Linked DNA regions of Macaca fascicularis. The main gene of each other region encodes a partner of the protein of the gene in region 4 in a complex. Links are inferred from orthologs where the notes say so. Each region holds a gene or a part of one and is shown on either strand. Other genes may lie near its edges.

Evidence for each region. The genes of interacting proteins can lie anywhere in the genome.
Region 1: CYFIP1 (region 4) and EIF4E share a complex: the UniProt entries of both Homo sapiens proteins name them as parts of the CYFIP1-EIF4E-FMR1 complex. The link is inferred for Macaca fascicularis from reciprocal best matches to the Homo sapiens genes CYFIP1 and EIF4E.
Region 2: CYFIP1 (region 4) and ABI1 share a complex: the UniProt entries of both Homo sapiens proteins name them as parts of the WAVE2 complex. The link is inferred for Macaca fascicularis from reciprocal best matches to the Homo sapiens genes CYFIP1 and ABI1.
Region 3: CYFIP1 (region 4) and WASF2 share a complex: the UniProt entries of both Homo sapiens proteins name them as parts of the WAVE2 complex. The link is inferred for Macaca fascicularis from reciprocal best matches to the Homo sapiens genes CYFIP1 and WASF2.

What each region holds. Positions count from the first base shown.
Region 1 is NC_088379.1:104,497,071-104,501,815, forward strand, and holds the start of EIF4E (eukaryotic translation initiation factor 4E), read right to left. Parts: upstream 3,040-4,745; 5' UTR 3,025-3,039; coding exon 2,897-3,024; intron 1-2,896. UniProt on the Homo sapiens protein: Acts in the cytoplasm to initiate and regulate protein synthesis and is required in the nucleus for export of a subset of mRNAs from the nucleus to the cytoplasm which promotes processes such as RNA capping, processing and splicing.
Region 2 is NC_088383.1:27,593,529-27,598,173, forward strand, and holds the start of ABI1 (abl interactor 1), read right to left. Parts: upstream 3,040-4,645; 5' UTR 2,874-3,039; coding exon 2,757-2,873; intron 1-2,756. UniProt on the Homo sapiens protein: May act in negative regulation of cell growth and transformation by interacting with nonreceptor tyrosine kinases ABL1 and/or ABL2. May play a role in regulation of EGF-induced Erk pathway activation. Involved in cytoskeletal reorganization and EGFR signaling.
Region 3 is NC_088375.1:207,583,435-207,588,307, reverse strand, and holds the start of WASF2 (actin-binding protein WASF2), read right to left. Parts: upstream 3,040-4,873; 5' UTR 2,856-3,039; intron 2,342-2,855; exon of another isoform or gene 2,219-2,341; intron 1-2,218. UniProt on the Homo sapiens protein: Downstream effector molecule involved in the transmission of signals from tyrosine kinase receptors and small GTPases to the actin cytoskeleton. Promotes formation of actin filaments. Part of the WAVE complex that regulates lamellipodia formation.
Region 4 is NC_088381.1:554,026-558,146, reverse strand, and holds part of CYFIP1 (cytoplasmic FMR1-interacting protein 1), read right to left. Parts: intron 2,701-4,121; coding exon 2,623-2,700; intron 2,433-2,622; coding exon 2,331-2,432; intron 1,150-2,330; coding exon 968-1,149; intron 1-967. UniProt on the Homo sapiens protein: Component of the CYFIP1-EIF4E-FMR1 complex which binds to the mRNA cap and mediates translational repression. In the CYFIP1-EIF4E-FMR1 complex this subunit is an adapter between EIF4E and FMR1.

The sequences.
Region 1 (4,745 bases), on a different chromosome or scaffold from region 4:
ACCTTTTAACATTTTAAAATAAATTTTTTAAATGAACATTCTTAAGGGAGCACTAATATGTACCTACTGATCATATTACTTTGCACATATTATGCAGCTTAAGCCAACATCACAAATTCAGTTTGGGTTTGGGGAGGTGATAACACAGACACAAGAAATAACAGATGTGTGAACTAGGATGATAAGGCTAATGATAAAATTTAAATGTCAGTACTATTTAAACCAAAGGCTACCAGAAGATTCATAATTTAAAATAACTAGAAAAATTTACAGGCTGGGTGCGGTGGCTCATGCATATAATTCCAGCACTTTGGGAGGCAGAGGCAGGTGGATCACGAGGTCAGGAGTTCAAGACCCACCTGACCAACTTGGTGAAATCACATCTCTACCCAAAATACAAAATTAGCCAGGCGTGGTGGCGCATGCCTGTAACACCAGTTACTCAGGAGGCTGAAGCAGGAGAAGCACTTGAACCCGGGAGAGGGAAGTTGCAGTGAGCTGAGATCGCGCCACTGCACTCCAGCCTGGGCAACAAGAGCAAAACTCCGTCTCAAAAAAAAAAAGAAAGAAAAAAGAAAAAGAAAAATTTACGTACGGCCAGGCACGGTGGCTCATGCCTGTAATCCCAACACTTTGGGAGGCTGACGCAGGCAGATCATGAGATCAGGAGATCGAGACCATCCTGGACAACATGGTGAAACCCAGCCTCTACTAAAAAATACAAAAATTAGCTGGGCCTGGTGGTGCATGCCTGTAATCCCAGCTACTCAGGAGGCTGAGGCAGGAGAATCGCTTGAACCAGGGAGTCAGAGGTTTCAGTGAGCCGAGATCGCACCATTGCACTCCAGAATGGTGAAAGAGCGAGACTCCATCTCAAAAACAAAAAAAAAAGAAAGAAAACAAAGAAAAATTTACATACGTTGAACATTATACAAAAGTAAAAAATGATTCAAAATATATCAACATTAAAATGGCATTAGGACCAGTGCACAAAACTGTTGACTGCAGTAACACGGTATTTTCCATTTCAATTATTCCTTAAAGCTTTATAGGAAGTATTTGAAACGCAAATCTTTTAAAGAATTTAACTGCTATTTAAATGTTTATACATTTTAAAACTTAGAAAACATAACTAAAATTTCATGATACTAATTAAATTCTAGTTTTTTTTTTTTTTAAATCTATCTTTACATGTCACAGTTCAAACAAATGAGCAGTTACTGTTAAAATTCTATGTGTTTGGCCGGGCGCAGTGGCTCACACCTGTAATCCCAGCACTTTGGGAAGCTGAGATGGGTGGATCGCCTGAGGTCAGGTGGTCGAGACCAGCCTGGTCCAACATGGTGAAACCCTGTCTCTACTAAAAATACAAAAATTAGCCAGGTATAGTGGCACGTGCCCATAATCCCAGCTACTCGGGAGGCTGACTCAGGAGAATTGCTTGAACCTGGGAGGCAGAGGTTGCAGTGAGCCAAGGTAGTGTCACTGCATTCCAGCCTGGGCAACAGAGCAAAACTCCGTATCAAAAAAAAAAAATAAATAAATTACATGTGTTCATTTTTAAAAGTTAAAGGTTATAATTTCAATTTAAACTGTAGCTTTAATAAGGTCATTTTGTTTTCTGTAACAACTTCTTATCCAACAGATTTTTTTTCTTTTTCTTTTTCTTTTTTTTTTGCCTTCAGAGGAGGGTATCACTGTTAACTTAGGCTGGAGTGCAGGGATGCAATCATAGCTCACTGCAGTCTCAAACTCCTAGGCTCAAGAGATGCTCCTGAATAGCTGGGACTACAGGCATGCCCAGAAAATTTTTAGAGACAGGTCTCACTATATTGCTCAGCCTGGTCTCAAACTCTTGGCCTCAAGTGATCCTCCTGCCTCAGCCTTCGAAATTGCTAGGATTACAGGCGTGAGCCACCACGTCTGCCTTTTTATGTACTAAGGTTTTAAAATCACCTTTCAAAAGAAAATATTTTGAAGAAATATATGCCTTAAAAAAATTTACAAAACCAGGTATAGTCAGTTTCTTATGTCCCCAGGATTACAGAGTGGAATACAACCTTCTATTTACTTAGTTTAAGTTAATAAACTATCAAGCTTCCAAACCTAAAAGGATCTACTGAGTTCCAAGTCAAAGCTAAATGGGAAAATAGAAAAACAGTAAAATTAAAATAAAAAGATCTATATTATTTAACCTAGTAATTAGACTTCTAAGAGACAATACATCTATCAACAGATATACCCAAAAGGTAATAGATAAACCATGGCATTTATAATGTAAGCACTAAACATGTTTGTAAGAATTACTTTAAAAGTAATACAAATGTGGAGAAAAGCAGATTACAGAACCATATAAAAATGAGCACTTAAAAAAAAAAAAAAAAAAAAAAAAAAAAAAAAAAAAAGGCCAGGCGTGGTGGTTCATGCCTGTAATCCCAGCACTTTGAGAGGCCCAGGTGGGCGGATCATGAGGTCAGGAGTTTAAGACCAGCCTGGCCAACATGGTGAAACCCATCTCTACTAAAAATACAAAAATTAGCCAGGCGTGGTGGCATGTGCCTGTAATCCCAGGTATCTGGAGGCTGAGGCGGGACAATCGCTGGAACCCAGGAGGAGGAGGCTGCAGTGAGCCGAGACCACGCCACTACACTCCAGCCTGGCAACAGAGCAAGACTCTGTCTCAAAAAAAAAAAAAAAAGAAAAGAAAAGAAAAAAGAAGCACTATTTTTGTGCTTTTGACCTATATTAAGAAGTCCTAAATAAACTGTAGTACATCCAGAAAATGAAACATTACTGAGTGCTAAAATAAAATGAGTTATCAAGCCATAAAAAGACATAGAAGGAACTTAAATGCATATTACTAAGTGAAAGAAGCTAAGCTGAAAAGGCTACGTACTGTATGATTGTAACTCTGTGATATTCTGGAAAAGACAAAAAGATCAGTGGTTGGTGGGAAGGGTATAAACAAGCAGAACAGAGAGGATTTTTAGGGCAGTAAATTATTCTGTACGATATTATAATCATAGATATATGTCATTATACATTTGACAAAACCCACAGAATGTACAACATGAAGAGTGAACCCTAATGTAAAGTATGAACTTTGGGTGACAATAATGTCAATTTAGGTTCATCAATTCTAACAAATGTGCCATTCTGTTGCAGGATGTTGACAGTGGGAAAGCTGTTCCTGCACAGGGGCAAGGAGTAAGTTACAGGAACTGTAATTTCTGCTCAATTTTGCTCTGAACCTAAAACTGCTCTAAGAAAATTAAGTAGTTAGTTTTTGAGACAGGGTCTCGCTCTGATACCCAGGCTGCAGTGCTGTGGCACAATCACAGCTCACTGCAGTCTCGACCTCCAGGGCTCAATCAATCCTCCCGCCCAAGCCTCCTGAGTAGCTGGGACTACAGGTGCATGCCACCACACCTGGCTAGTTTTTTGTATTAATATTTTTAGTAGAGACAGGGTTTCACCATGTTGCCTAAGTTAGTCTTGAATTCCCGGGCTTACGCAATTCACCCACCTCAGCCTCCCAAAGTATTGAGGTTTCAGGCATGAGCTACTGCACCCAGCTGAAAATTAAGTATTTAAAGGGAAAAACGAAAAGGTACGAAGAGGGATATGGTTTAAAAAAAAAAAAAAAAAGTTCACTTTCAGAGAACACTTAGTTGTTGAGATTACAGATTATTTTTTTCACACTGATCTAAATATTCCAAATGTATTATAACAAAGTTATATTAAAGCCCAAATAAACATCTGAAACTACTCCTGGATGGCTCAGTGTATTCCAATAATCTGCCCATCCCTTCCTACGTGAATATCATATTTTTGTAAATTTCTTTTTTCTTTTTTTAGACAGCATCTTGCTCTGTCACCCAGGCTGAAGTGCAATGGCGCAATCTTGGCTCACTGCAACCTCCACTTTCCGGGTTCAAGCAATTCTCCTGCCTCAGCCTCCCAAGTAGCTGGGATTACAGGCACCCACCACCACGTCCAGCTAATTTTTTTGTATTTTTAGTAGAGATGGGTTTTCGCCATGTTGGTCAGGCTGATCTCGAACTCCTGACCTCAGGTGATCCACCTGCCTCAGCCTCCCAAAGTGCTACTATTATAGAGTCACTGCGCCCAGCCATTACTTTTAACAATGTTTTTCTTCATGATATGGTAAGTTCCCCATTCGCCTTTGCTCTTCCTTTTTAAAACTTTGCTTCTGCTCAGGCCTGTAATCCCAGCACTTTGGGAGGCCAAGGCGGGCAGATTCCCTGAGGTCAGGAGTTTGAGACCAGCCTGGCCAACACAGTGAAAACTCGTCTCTACTAAAAACATAAAAATTAGCTGGGTATAGTGGTTGGCGCCTGTAATCCCAGCTAGGCTGAGGTGGGATAATCACTTGAACCTAGGAGGCAGAGGTTGCAGTGAGCCAAGATGGTGCCACTGCACTCCAGCCTGGGCAACAGAGTAAGGCTCTGTCTCAAAAACACATGTCTACATACTCAAAGGAATAAGTTAAGATTTTGCATGTATATAACAATTATAGGAAGCTATAAAAATGAACATTCAGAGGACAAAAAAAAAAAAAAAAAAGGAAGGAGGACAGGAGGGAGAAAATAAATAACTGGAATTTCAAAATGAATGGAAATTTAAAATGAAGGTTGAAAAATAAATGAAATTTTCCAGAGAACTAATCCAAGAGATCTAATATATGAGCAACTGTTTCAAAGAGAAAAGAGAGGAGAATCACT
Region 2 (4,645 bases), on a different chromosome or scaffold from region 4:
AATCTAATAAAGTCAACAGAACCAAAGAACTAATAAACTGCCTCAAGAACTTAAATGCACCACAGCCAAAAGAGTTTCTCAGCTACACACCTTAGCTAAACTGGACTGCACTTTCAAACTGTAGAAAAATGAAATGAAAAGTGAATCTCAGAACAAAAATCACCCAAGCAATAACTTAGCTCACCTTATTTAAAAATTCTCAAAGCACATGTGAACTGCATACTTTCACTGAGAAGAGGTATATTTATGAAGAGTATTAGTTATAAATAACCCAATCAGGTCCCAGGAAGGATATAGAAAGACCTCAACAGACACCCTAATGGATATTTCTAATATTATTCATTCCCCATTCTTAGCACCAAAGTCATCAGCACCACCTACCACATCAACTTCCACATCACTTTCTGAGTCTGACCCTGTCTGAGTCCCTTAGGGAGGCAACTAGTGGCCTGGATCATGCAGCCCAATGAATAAAGGCTACTAAGGTATTTAGATCATCATTGCTTTGTGTGAATTCTTTCCCCCCCCCCCCCCCCCAGTATAAACAAAACACCTCACTGGTGTCAGATTTAGAATTATACCCCACCCCGCCCCCGCAAAAAAAGAAAATAAAAAAACGGGGCCTGCACCATGGCACTAACATTTTATAAAGTGAGAGACTGTATGAGAAATAACATGACTTAATTAGATATATTAGCAAAGAAGTTTTAAAGTGCTTCAAAGTTACATGATCGTAGCAAGAGGAGTAAAGGAAAGGGGTCAGAGAGGGGTAAAAAAAGCATTACAGCATACAACTACCTGAAAAAGAAATAGTACACAGGTTAAAACACGTTTACAGTTACCAAGAGTTGCCAACACATAGTTACCACACTATATACTCGTCAGATTTCCCAACACGCAAAACAAAAAGGAGCCACCCTGTATGAAGTACTTATCTACTGACTTCTACAGAGAAGACATAACTTTTCTGGAAAGGGAGCAATTTAACCTACTGTGCTCTCCTTTTGGCTTTCAAAAATCTTTAAAACTTTCAGCAAATTAAGGTTCTCCTCAATTTCAAGGCTTTTCATGTTAAGTTGAATAAAAGTTGCCTATTTTTAATATCGATAAACTACAAGATCACTTTTGTATTTGCAAACTATACCCACTTTTCTACTCGATTTTTAAGTTTCGAAGGGCTAAATATAAAGTTTGCATAAACAAAGTGATACAGTAGATGTGACAGGTATTCAACAAGTTTACTTATCCGAAGAATTCCTAAAGTAAAAACTTTACAAAAAAATTGTGAAGATAAATTCCGAGTAGTGCTACTGAAGATACAATGTTACTAACATCAAAATTAAGAAATATTCAAAACATTCTGAAAACAGCATCTCCCTCTAAAAATAAAGAGGGAAAGCATTTGCCAACACACAAACATTGGTTCTTAAAAATTATAATCACATGGGAGGCATTTCTATAAATAATTTAGTTCTGAATTGCAATAACCCTAACCTTTCAAAGCACGTTCTAGCCTTGCCTTACCAAAAGCAAGAGCATTTCTGGTGGCTTTATATTTATACAAAGGACTGTGCTACTTTGTTTCTAGTGCAAACTGTTGGTTTACACAGTTAAAGGTCTTCAAAACAAACTACCACACACAATTCACTTCCAATCATCCAAAAAGAAATGAACAAACCAGCATCTGTCACAAAGTCCCAAGAGTTTTCTAATTTACAATAACTGATATTTTTATGTTGTAGTTCGGAGGCTACCTCTGTTCATTTCTGTACTTGGATTCATATACTATACATTTACTTAGCTTGTTAAGAGAGAAACCTCAGAAAATAAGCAACCAGCGATGACACCAGTATTAAGTTACTTATGAAGCCTACAGTTCAAGAACTTTTGGGAGAAGAGAGAGTATTTAAGCCGTTTTTCCAAGGAGTTAAAAACAATTCCTGTTTGATAATTAATGATAGCAGCCCTAACAACCTCTTAGAATACATTACGGTGGGGCGGAAGCGAAAACGATGGCGGGGGGGGGGGGGGAACCCGACTTGAAAATGGACAAGCAGGCAGATTTACAAACCTTCAATTAAAGGAATTTTAAGATTAACTTCTCTCAAACGCCCTCCCTCACTCCCCACACCCGCTTCCTCCTCTCCTCCGGGAGGTCGGTGTAATGTGACTCATGACAAATTTTTTTTAAATAAATAAATAAAAGACACACCCTCTGGGGGCTGAAACTGACATAATGGCCCCCACCCCACCCTCCGCCGACACACAACACACACCCCGCTGGTCCTATCCCTTCTGCGGCTTCAGCCTGGTCCCTGCCCTCTCCTCTCCCCTCTCCCGTCCTGGACCTCCTCTCCGGGCGCAGAGAGGCGGCGCGGCGGCAGCAGGGGGGTCTCCAGGACGCCAGCTCCGTGGACTGGAGGCTACCTGGGGGGCGCGCGACCCCGGTGGCCCGGCCCTGGGGAAAGCGGACGCGAGGGGGGCGCCGGGCTGCGGCGGGCTCCCGGCTCCCTCGCCCATTTTCTCTCCCCTTCCATCGATTTCCACCACCACAGCCACTTCCTGTATCGCAGCCCGACTCCCTCAGCCGGGCCACTCGCTCTGTCCCCGGTTGGGGCTGGGGTTGGGACTGCGGTAGGGGCTCGGGCTGGTGGCAACCGCTGAGGTGAGGGCAGTTCCCCACCCCGCCCAGTGGGCTGGTCACTCCGGCGGGTCCTCGACCCGGCCAGCGCCCGCCGGCCGCCAGCGCGCCTCACCTGTATGTAGTTGTTTTCACAGTAGTCCGCCACCCGAGTCAGGTTCTGGTAACTCTCGATCAGCGCCCTCTTGCCAGACGGGATCTCCTCCTCTAGTAACATCTGCAGCTCTGCCATTTTCCACCCCTCTGCATCGCTTCCTCTCGCGTTAAAGAGACAGAGGCAGCAAGGTCCGCCGAGGCTCCGAGCACCTCACAGCCCGGATACAAACCGACTACCCGCCCTCCCGCCTGGTATTGTGGGACGGCACCTCCTCCCGTTCTTCCTCACTCTCTCGGGTCTCCCTCCACCCACTTCGCGCAGCCGCCTGAACCTCGTTCTCTCGCGAGTCTTCATTTCTGCCACCTCCCCCACGCCGGGCCGCGGGATTTTTTTTTCTTTCGCACTGTCTTCTGGGAATTGTAGTCTCTCTTAGACAAGGCTGCCCGTCCAAAGCGCATGCGCGCAGACACCTCCGAAAACAACTAGGCAGAGCGCAGAAAGCGGAGACCGAAGGTGGAGGGAGGGGGCGGTGTTGGGGGGAAGTCCGGAGTTTCCTCACAGCTCCGGAAGGTGGCGCCACAGGGTGATTGTGGGGGAATGAAATCGGTTCCCCAAGTTTCATGTGAAACTTGGCAGAACTTGGTTAATTAGGAAATGCCAGTGAATCAGGGACATCCATTCACAGAAGGATTAAAAAGGGACAGAGTATAGAAAACTAGATTTTTACTTCCTCTGCCTTCTTAGAAATAATGCGAGTCAGGTTTTACTTTCTGAGCTTCCGCCCCCATCAATTAATTTAAAATTTAGCAAAGATTTCTTGATTCCAGCTGTTTACTAAGCAGTGTACTGGACACTGGGGGTACAAGTTGAGTATGAATACTCCATACCCTTAAAGACTCGATTATAAAATAAACATGCATAGCTTGTAGGGCTTTCCTGTCCTAATTTCTCTTTTCTGTGACTCTCCTTGGCATGTAATCTTCCTACACTTTTAAAGTCAAGTGCACGGTTTTTTAGGGGTGGGGGTTGTTTGAAACAGGATCTCACTCTTACCCAGCCTGGAGTACGGTAGCGCAATCACGGCTCTCTGCAGCCTAGACCTCCTAGACTCAAGCGATCCTCATGCCTCAGCCTCCGGAGTAACTGGGACTACAAGCGAGGGTCACTACACCGGGGCTGAGCTTTTTAAATTTTTGTAGCGACAGGGATCCAATTTTGTTGCCCTCGCTGGTCTCGAACCCCTGGCCTCAAGCAATCCTTCTGCCTCAGCCTCCCAAACTGCTAGGATTACAATCATGAGCCACCCATGCTGGCCCTTCGTTTTTTGCTTCTGGATTTTTGTTTTGTTTTTATCACCTGCTTTGGAATAGTCTCAAAAGGCCCTATATTTCAAGCTCTTCACTTCAACGGGAACATTAAATGCTTTGGATATAATCAGCTATGAAAAGTGTTGTCCAAAGGCCGAAGAGGAAACTAAAGATCATTGTAAAATCCATATGTCCATGTATCTCCATAAAGTCATTTAGAATCAAAATAACTATAGGATTAACAACATCACTCAACCAAATTAAAAATTGCCATCACCAGGTATTTATTGAATATTGCCTTTACTGGGGCCTTATTCAGGGCCCCAGGGAACTAGTTTCCCTCCTCAACCTCTGAAAGGAAAAATTCAGTTTCCTACTAAAAGTGTTAACTTCCCCTTGCCACCAGATTCTCCATCAAGGATTCTGTGGTCTATAAATCAATAATAAATGTATTACTTTCCATGATATCTGGAATAGGTATAATAGTTATCTTTTGATATTTATCGTTAACCCAAACATGACTTAATCCAAGTTATTAAAATTTAATGTATTATTGATCTTGGTCTCTACTTGAGGTTTAACTGTACAAATCACTCGGTT
Region 3 (4,873 bases), on a different chromosome or scaffold from region 4:
CCAGGCTAACACTGTGAAACCCCATCTCTACTAAAAATACAAAAAATTAGCTGGGCGTGGTGGCGGGCGCCTGTAGTCCCAGCTACTCAGGAGGCTGAGGCAGAAGAATAGCATGAACCCAGGAGGCGGAGCTTGCAGTGAGCTGAGATCACTCTGCACTCCAGCCTGGGCAACAGAGCAAGATTCTGTCTCAAAAGAAAAAAAAAGAAAAAAAAAGACTTAATGTGTCAAAAGCCAAACACATTATTATGTGTTTTTCAAGTGATGGTGATATTTGCATCCTGTAATATCTAAATCAATTCCTTAGGTTGAAATCACAGTTAAAATACAGCCAAAGACTCAGTCGGGCGCAGCAGCTCACGCCTGTAATCCCAGCACTTCGGGAGGCCGCAGCAGGTGGATCAACTGAGGTCAGGAGTTTGAGACCAGCCTGGCCAACATGGCAAAACCCCATCTCTACTAAAAAATACAAAAATTAGCCAGGCGTGGGGTTGCATGCCTGTAGTCCCAGATACTTGGGAGGCTGAGGCAGGAGAATTGCTCAAACCCGGGAGGCAAAGGTTGCAGTGAGCCGAGCTCACGCCACTGCGTTCCAGCCTGGGTGACAGATATATATATATATTTGTTATATATAATACATATATTTTTATATATTATATGTATTATATATTATATACTATAAGTTTTATATAGTATAATTTATATATATTATATATAAATTTTTTATATTATATATTTTATGATATATGACATATTTATGTATTATATATAAATTCATATATGATTTATAATATATATTGTATATGTTACATATTTATATTTATATATATTTATTTTATATTATATATTTTTATTATATATTATATATTTTATATATAAGACCGAATTAGTAATATGCTGAGAAAAAGAATAATCCACTGTAAATAACTTACTCAATAAAATGCTCTGATTTTTAAACAATTATTCTCAGAGGTTTTAAGATTTAAAATTATTTCATTCTAGAAGAAAACTCTGAACAAATTACAATTGACTTTTTCTATGAAAGTAGAGCCTGGGACATGGCTAGAGACAGGAACAGTTCTTAAAGATATTTGAACGGGAAAAAGAGTTTCACAGTTCTTTCCTTCCTTCCTCCTTTAGTTGCTGCTTTTCTGGTTTTAGAATTTCAAACAAAGAAATACATACTGGCTCCACTGCTAAGAAACGCCCTTTTTCTCAGCAACTTCCTCTTCCAGTTTTCTTCTCCACCATTCACATATGAGAACAATACCCATAGCCATTCCTACCATTCTGATTAATCAAAAGCTCTGAGGTTTGGAAAAATTAAGGGCAGCAAGTTATTGTACCCAACTACCACCTACCTCAGATCCACAATCTTCACTCATTAGAAGTCAAATAACAGGTTGCACAAAGAAAGGGGTATTAAGCTTAATCAGAGGCGGGATATTGAACCTTTCACCCCAAGAAATCCAAAGAAATTTGAACTAAAAAATGGGAAATTTCTCCCATCCCAAGAAAATGTGGCCCTCTGATGGAGGAGAAAAGTGAATGGGCTGGCACCACCCTGAACCAAAGTATAGTCTACACACCAACAGCTGCTGAACTTTCTTCTACAGGCAACCCCAACAGGATTCAAATGGAGCTCTCTGAGGATCTGACACACTTCAAAGTGACTTTTACGACTTACAAATAGTTCTTTCCAACTTACAGACTGGATAAAGGGGCTGGACTTATAATTAACCTTCCAGAGATCAAGACTGTCCCCATGCCAGAAGTCAAATCACATACCTGGGGCCAGACCTCTGCCCCCATCTGCAACAAGGCAAACTTCCCTAACACTATCTTTTAAGTGGGCAGTGACTTCCCCCTTGCCTAGAGATTCTGAGAGGAAACAATTTAGTTAAGTAACCTCTGCCCTTTACTGTGTGACCTTGGGCAAGTTACTTAACTCCTCTGAAACTTAGTTTCCTTATGTGTAAATTCTCAAGGGTCACTGTAAAAGTTCATAGGCCTAAGCGAGGGTTGGCACCTAGTAGGGCTGCCATAAAAGTTCTTCCTCCTCCTTCTACCCTCCTGATTTCTGGGCCTAAATTCCAATCAGAGCCCCAAGGGGCTCCAAGGAGTCCTTCCTCTTCTCTGGTTCTATGGACAACCGTATTAAAACTTCCCCTCTCAGAGGCTCTAGCGTTCCTGGAGAACCAAGAGGACCCCAACTCACCCCATCGTGGTCTGGGTAGCACCCACGTCCTCCTTGGAATAGCCCCTTTAGACAACTCTCCTCCTTACTCTGCAGACCATCCTGTACGCGCACACACCCACACGCACTCTTACACACACACACACAGTGCCCTCCTCCCGCTCCTCAATATTTAGCAGGTCGGGGCCTCAACGAGCACCTCAGTTACTTCGTGGTCCAGAGATGGAAACTGAGGCTCAGCCTGGGGAAGAACTTGTCCAAGATCTCAGACAACAGCTGGGACCCAACTCCTGTACATACATCTGCCGACGAAACCCTCGTTTTACACATGGGAAAACTAAGGCCTAGAGAGGAAAGTGACTTGCTCAAGATCACACAGGGAGCTGATGGCAGAACCAGGTCAGATCGGGACACTCGTAGTCCCTCAGACTTGCGGACCCCTCCAAGTTTCGGAAGGGGACTCCGGGTCACTCCCTCCCTCCCTGAGGGGGTGGGGTGGACTAAGACACCACCCCGCGCTGACCACTCGCCCAGCCTCTGCCACTCGGCAGTGAGAGTCGCGGCACCCACTCCCCCGGAACCCTGCGGCTCGGGAGGAGCGGCCCGCCCGGGGACCGCGCCTCCCGGCGGGGTCTACCCAAGGGGACTTGTTGCTCACCTGGCCTCCCGCAGTCGCCGTCAGCGACAGGAAAGGCCGGCCGGCCGCACAGTCTCCGCACAGAGTGTGCTCCCGCGGACCGCCTCGCGGGCTGCCACACGGCCGGACCCCCCTCAGCGCGCTACGCCCCCAGCCGCGCTCGCCCGGCCCGTGTCCGCCATTACGGTATTCCCCGCCCTGGGACGCAGCCACACCCCGCCAATGGCCCTGATTGGTTCACTGCCCAACCCACCCGGGGCTTCGGGGCATTCCATTGGCCTGAGTAAAATGCCAGTTAAATAACTACGCAAAAGACGTACTCACGGGTACCCTCCCCGGAGCTCCACCCGGGCGACTTCCGCAATCCGAGTAAACAGCGGGGTGCAAACCAAGTGAAATGGGGGGCAGAGATTAAGGCAAACGGACTCCTAAGTTCAAAGTAGGGAAAACTCACCGAAGAGAGTGTAAAACCTCGTACAGAGTGTGTTGAAAGATTAATTCTTCTTGTTAGCCTTCAAAGAACCGCTATATTTGGCGAAAGGAAGGGGCCAAGCCCGTAAACTTTCTGTGGACACCCCTCAAGTTGCAGATGGTGTTGTCCCTTCACTCCGGTCTCAGCCGGGGCAGAAAGTAGGGTGGGGAGAGTGAGTCACAAGCTCTAGCCCGCCCTGCACTGTCCATGTGGGGCGAGGCCTGGGTGCTGGGAATGGGGGATAGTACTGAAAAGCCATGGTCAAAGTGAGCGGATCCCTGGTTGAGCCACTTCACTCTGCGACCTCAGACATCTTCCAGAATTTATCTGGGTCTCAGTTTGTCCTTCTGCGAAATAGGAGCAGTCGTCTGTGCCTCACATGCGGGAGTGTTTGTTGAGGATTCATGCATGAGTGGGGAATATGCTCGTCTTGTTGATTATAAAAGGCTGCAGCTGGCCGGGCGCGGTGGCTCTGGCCTGTAATCCCAGCGCTTTGGGAGGTCGAGGCGGGCGGATCACCTGAGGTCGGGAAATCAAGACCAGCCTGACCAACTTGGAGAAACCCCCGTCTCTACTAAAAATACAAAATTAGCCAGCCGTGGTGGCGCATGCCTGTAATCCCAGCTACTCAGGAGGTTGAGGCCGGAGAATCGCTTGAATTCTCCGCCGAGAGGCGGAGGTTGCAGTGAGCGGAGATCACGCCATTGCACTCCAGCCTAGGAAACTAGAGCGAAACCCCGTCTCAAAAAAAAAAAAAGGCCCGGCGCGGTGGCTCATGCCTGTAATCCCAACACTTTGGGAGGCCGAGGCTGGTGGATTACTTGAGGTCATGAGTTCAAGACCAGCCTGGCTAAGTGAAATCCCGCCTCTAGGAGGATCACCTGAGGTCGGGTGGTTGAAACCAGCCTGGCCAACATGGTGAAATCCAGTCTCTACTAAAAATACAAAAAATTAGCCGGGCATGGTGTCCCATGCCTGTAATCCCAGCTACTCGGAAGGCTGAGGCAGGAGAATCTCTTGAACCCGGGAGATGAAGGTTTCGGTGAGCCGAGATCACGCCATTGCACTCCAGCCTGGGCAACAAGGGCAAAACTCTGTCTCAAAAAAAGAAAAAAAAGAAACCCTGCCTCTATTAACGCAAAAATTAGCTGGGCGTGGTGGTGCGCATCTATGATCCCAGCTACTTGGGAGGCAGGAGAATCGCTTGAACCTGGGTGTTGGATGTTGCAGTAAGCCGAGGTCATGCCACTGCACTCCAGCCTGGGAGACAGAACGAGTCTAAAAAAAAAAAGGCCGCAGCTAGATAGAAATGTGACAAATTCACACGTTAGCAAAGATACCTCACTTGGTTCTCTAGGGCAACTCTGTAAGGCAGATTATTACCCTCGTTTTTGCAGAAGAGAAAACTGAGTCTTCCTGAAGTTGCATGACTTACCCAGGGTCCTCCAGGGAATTTGAAACAGCCCCGGAACTCAAACCTGTATCTTTTGGTTTCCACTCCTGTATTTCTCCCTTTTCAGGCCTATTATCATATGAGAATGACTTCCCTCCCCTCGCCCCCCGCACT
Region 4 (4,121 bases):
GCCTTAGTTCACGTGAATGAGGCTTAAATTCTGCCTGACCTAGCTTGACTCCTACTGCTGCCTCATTTTGTCCCAAGTGGGGATTTTTCTTTTTATAAAGACATAACAACAGTTGTATGATTTAAAATGCAACATAACTAGAGCGTATTCAGATGCAAAGTAAGGTCTCTTCGAATTTAATTTTAGAGCTAAGATGCCTTACTTACTAGAGGAAACTGAAATTAGCATCTCATTCCAGCAAAACATGTCTTCAAAAGCACCGGGCACAAACGAAGCAGAGCATCAGGAGACAGCGCCGTGTGTCCCCGAACGCCTGTCTGCCGCCCACCACCCCACAATCCTCCGGAAGCACACGCCGGGCCATGCCCGCCTCTTCCATCCCTCCTGCCGGTCTCTCCAGAGGCTAGCTTCTCCAGAAGCTCTCTACATCCAAAAAGAAAACCGCCGGGGAGAGGACCTGGAAACGCAGTGTGACCCCAAGACACCCTGTGACTGTGCATGGGCTACGTCTGCACGTTGCTGGATGGTGCTCAGGTGCCGGGGACCCCCACCGGCGAGAGACTGGCACCGAGGACTGCAGCCCCAATGCCCAAGGTGGGCTGCAGAGGCCACCTGCCCCCTTGCCAAGATGCTCCCTGAGCCAGATGCCTGTGCTCTGTGAGCTAGGCCTACAGCTTGTGCACGTCTGTCTTCCCAGGGGCGCGAAGGTCCTCCGTGACATCGAAGGACAGCCAGGGCACTAAGAGTCTGCTCTAGCTTTGCAAAGCCATGATATGCACTTACCTGCTGGCTCCCCTCACTTTATCCCCCAGAGCAGGTGCTCCCACAGCCCTGACACCGAGAAGTAGCCGCTGCCTACCAGAAGTGACGACTTCAACACACAAAGACACACACCTGCTACGCACGAGGCGGGCCACTGAGCTGCGCGCTCTCGGGAAGGCCCACGGCACACGGGGCCGGTGCTCACCTCTTGTATGCTGAGTGGTCGTTCTTCACACTGCACTTCATGTTCTTCAGCTCGTCCAGCACAGCGAACATGTTGATGAACTTGCCCAGTGTGATCAGGTAGGCTTCAGACACAAAGTCCTTCCTCCTCTCGGCGTGGCACAGGCGCCTCACCTCCCCGCAGAAACGCTCAATGGCGTTTCTCTGTGCAGAGGAAGCGGGGGGCAGAAAGCTGCAGGTCAGTGAGGGGCCAAGCCCATGTCCCTGCTTCAAGCACCTGCAGTCACTGCTCCTTGATGAGAAAAATCTGCCCCGCGCGGCTTCGGGCCCAGGTGTTTACAATGTGGGCAGCCAGACCCCCTCCTGAAAGCAGCTCCGACGGCCTGCTCTGCAACGTCGTTACTCGTTTTGCACTTTACCAACTACGTCACTAAAGTAACAACATCTTGCTGATTATTCCAGCAAAATTACTGAGCAAAATGATCCAAGAAAACGTCTGCAAAATTCATACGTTCTAACTTTCAGAAGTGAAAAGTGGGAGAGATTTTTTTCCTCTTGGTAACTTTCAAGGTAAAATGAAAATTAATCTCCTAGTTAGTTCCATCTCCTCCCTCTGCTAATGGACATCATAGAAAATCTGGATGTTTCCAAAATACTTCTTTAAAAAGCAGCAGGCCCCTTTCATGTGGCTGCTTCTTGCCTAATCAAGGCCAGGGCGAGGACCACCAGGAATGGACAGTCAGGGTGAGGCTGACAGCAAGAAAATACCTGAAAGACCAGATGAATCAAAAGTACAAACTGGCCAGGTGCGGTGGCTCACGCCTGTAATCTCAGCACTTTGGAAGGCCAAGATGGGTGGATCACCTGAGGTCAGGAGTTCAAGACCAGCCTGGCCAACATGGTGAAACCCTGTCTCCACTAAGAATACAAAAACTAGCCAGGCATGGTGGCGGGCGCCTGTAATCCCAGCTACTCGGGAGGCTGAGGCAGGAGAATCACTTGAACCTGGGAGGCGGTGGTTGCAGTGAGCGAAGATTGCACCATTGTACTCCAGCCTGGGCGACAGAGCAAGACTCCGTCTCAAAAAAGAAAGTACAAACTGGCAGAAAGTCAAAGCATTGTACTTGAAACTGACAGAAAGCAGACTCCGTGAAGGAAACATGAAATCACTGAGAATTCTGAGAACCACAAAAGGAGTGTTGATTCCAAAAGGGCGTGAGAAACTTTAGACTGTCAAAGGCTTGGTCCCTTTTGTCTCAGAAACTGGTTGCTTTAATTTGCAGGCACTCTGTTCAGGGTGTTCACATTGACGGCGATGGGTAGGAAGGTGTCAGCAACCCACCCCTCGGTGTTACACCCCCAAGATAGGGATTTTGCCATTTTACCTGGAAGTACATAAAATTCATCAGTTTTGTGACCTCAGGCTCCAGAACCTCCACGGTTTTCTCATAAATTTCCACTCTGTTAGGCTGCTCGTTACATTTCACCTGGAATAAAGAAACAAGGATGACATAAGAGGCTTGGATCCAGCCAGAAGCAGCTGCTGGGCAGCTAGAGCTGGTGATCCCGCCCTGCTGTGGGGTGAGACCCGGGAGGAGAGTGGCCAGGCATTGCAGGGGCAGGGCGGGGTGGGGCACGGCAGGGTGTGGGGAGGGAAGAGACAGGCGAGCAGGGCACCTGCGGGATGGCCCGGGAGCAGCTCCTCCAGGTGTACAGCATGACAGCATATTCTTGGCCCTCCTCCAGCATCTCGTTCTGCAACGGAACACAGGGCAAATCAAAGGCAGGAGGGGGAACTAGCATGAAAAGCAGATGCCAGTTGCTAAAATCTAGACAAAGCACCATGAACTATCCTAAGCACTGTGGCCTGTGTGCCAAGAGACAGCTGCCGAGAAGCTGGTAACGCTGAGGTGCGGCGCTGGGGGCCACAATGACCACCCAAAACACGCCAGGGCTCCTGCAGGCGAGAGGGTATCAGTGACATGCAGGCATCTCTGGGGCATGCCACAGGCATTACACCTTGGCTCCGCCCAGCCCGAAACAATCGCTGGCCATGAGACCTGCAGTCGGGAGCACAGAGGAAGGGCTCAGGGCAGACGCCCTGCCCAGTGTGAGCACACGCAGGATCCCCATGGCCTCCCTCCTCACTGGCTCACAGGGCCTCCCAGTCCCAGAGAGGACTAGAGGCAGGGCTGCCCCAGGTGTGCAGGAGGAATAGTTAGGATTTAAGTGCCCACAGCACTTAAAATCTAGGTGGAGAGTCCATGGGAAGAGGACTGTCATCACTGCTATAAAACTGCTTTTGCTTTCTACTCTTTAACATCATTTCCTTTGGTAAAAATCAAATAGATGCTCTTAAATCTAGCCTATATTTAGAGAGATGTTCATCACATTAGAGAGATGTTCATCACAGCTTTTTTTTTTTGAGACGAGTCTCGCTCTGTCACCCAGACTGGAGTGCAGTGACGCGATCTCAGCTCACTGCAACCTCCACCTCCTGGGTTCAAGCAATTCTTTTGCCTCAGCCTCCCGAGTAGCTGGGATTACAGGCGTGCACCACCATGCCCAGTTAGTTTTTGTATGTTTTTTCCATTAGAGACAGGGTTTCACCATGTTGGCCAGGCTGGTCTCGAACTCCTGACCTTAGGTGATATGCCCACTTTGGCCTCCCAAAATGCTGGGATTACAGGTGTGAGCCACTGCACCCGGCCTACAGCATTTTTTTTTTTTTATTATATGACATAAAAGAGGAAATGAAGTAAATGTGCAAAAATAGTTGAACTGTGGACATTTACGAAATGGTTTACATAGCCATTAAGGATTGCTTTCTCCAGCACATTTTCAAGGCATGAAAATATTCTTGTCCAGGTGCAGCGTCTCAGGCCTGTAATCCCAGTACTTTGGGAGGCTGGGTGGGCAGATTCCTTGAGTCCAGGAATTCGAGACCAGCCTAGGCAACACAGTGAGACTTGCTTTTACAAAAAATACAAAAAGGTAGCTGGGCGTGGTGGTGTGTGACTATAGTCCCAGCTACTCAGGAGGCTGAGGTGGAAATATTGCTTGAGCCCGGGAGGTTGAGGCTGCAGTGAGCCCTAATCATGTCACTGCACTCTAGCCTGGGCAACCTGAGTCAGACCCTGTCTCCAAAAAAAAAAAAAAAGAAAAGAAAAAATGTT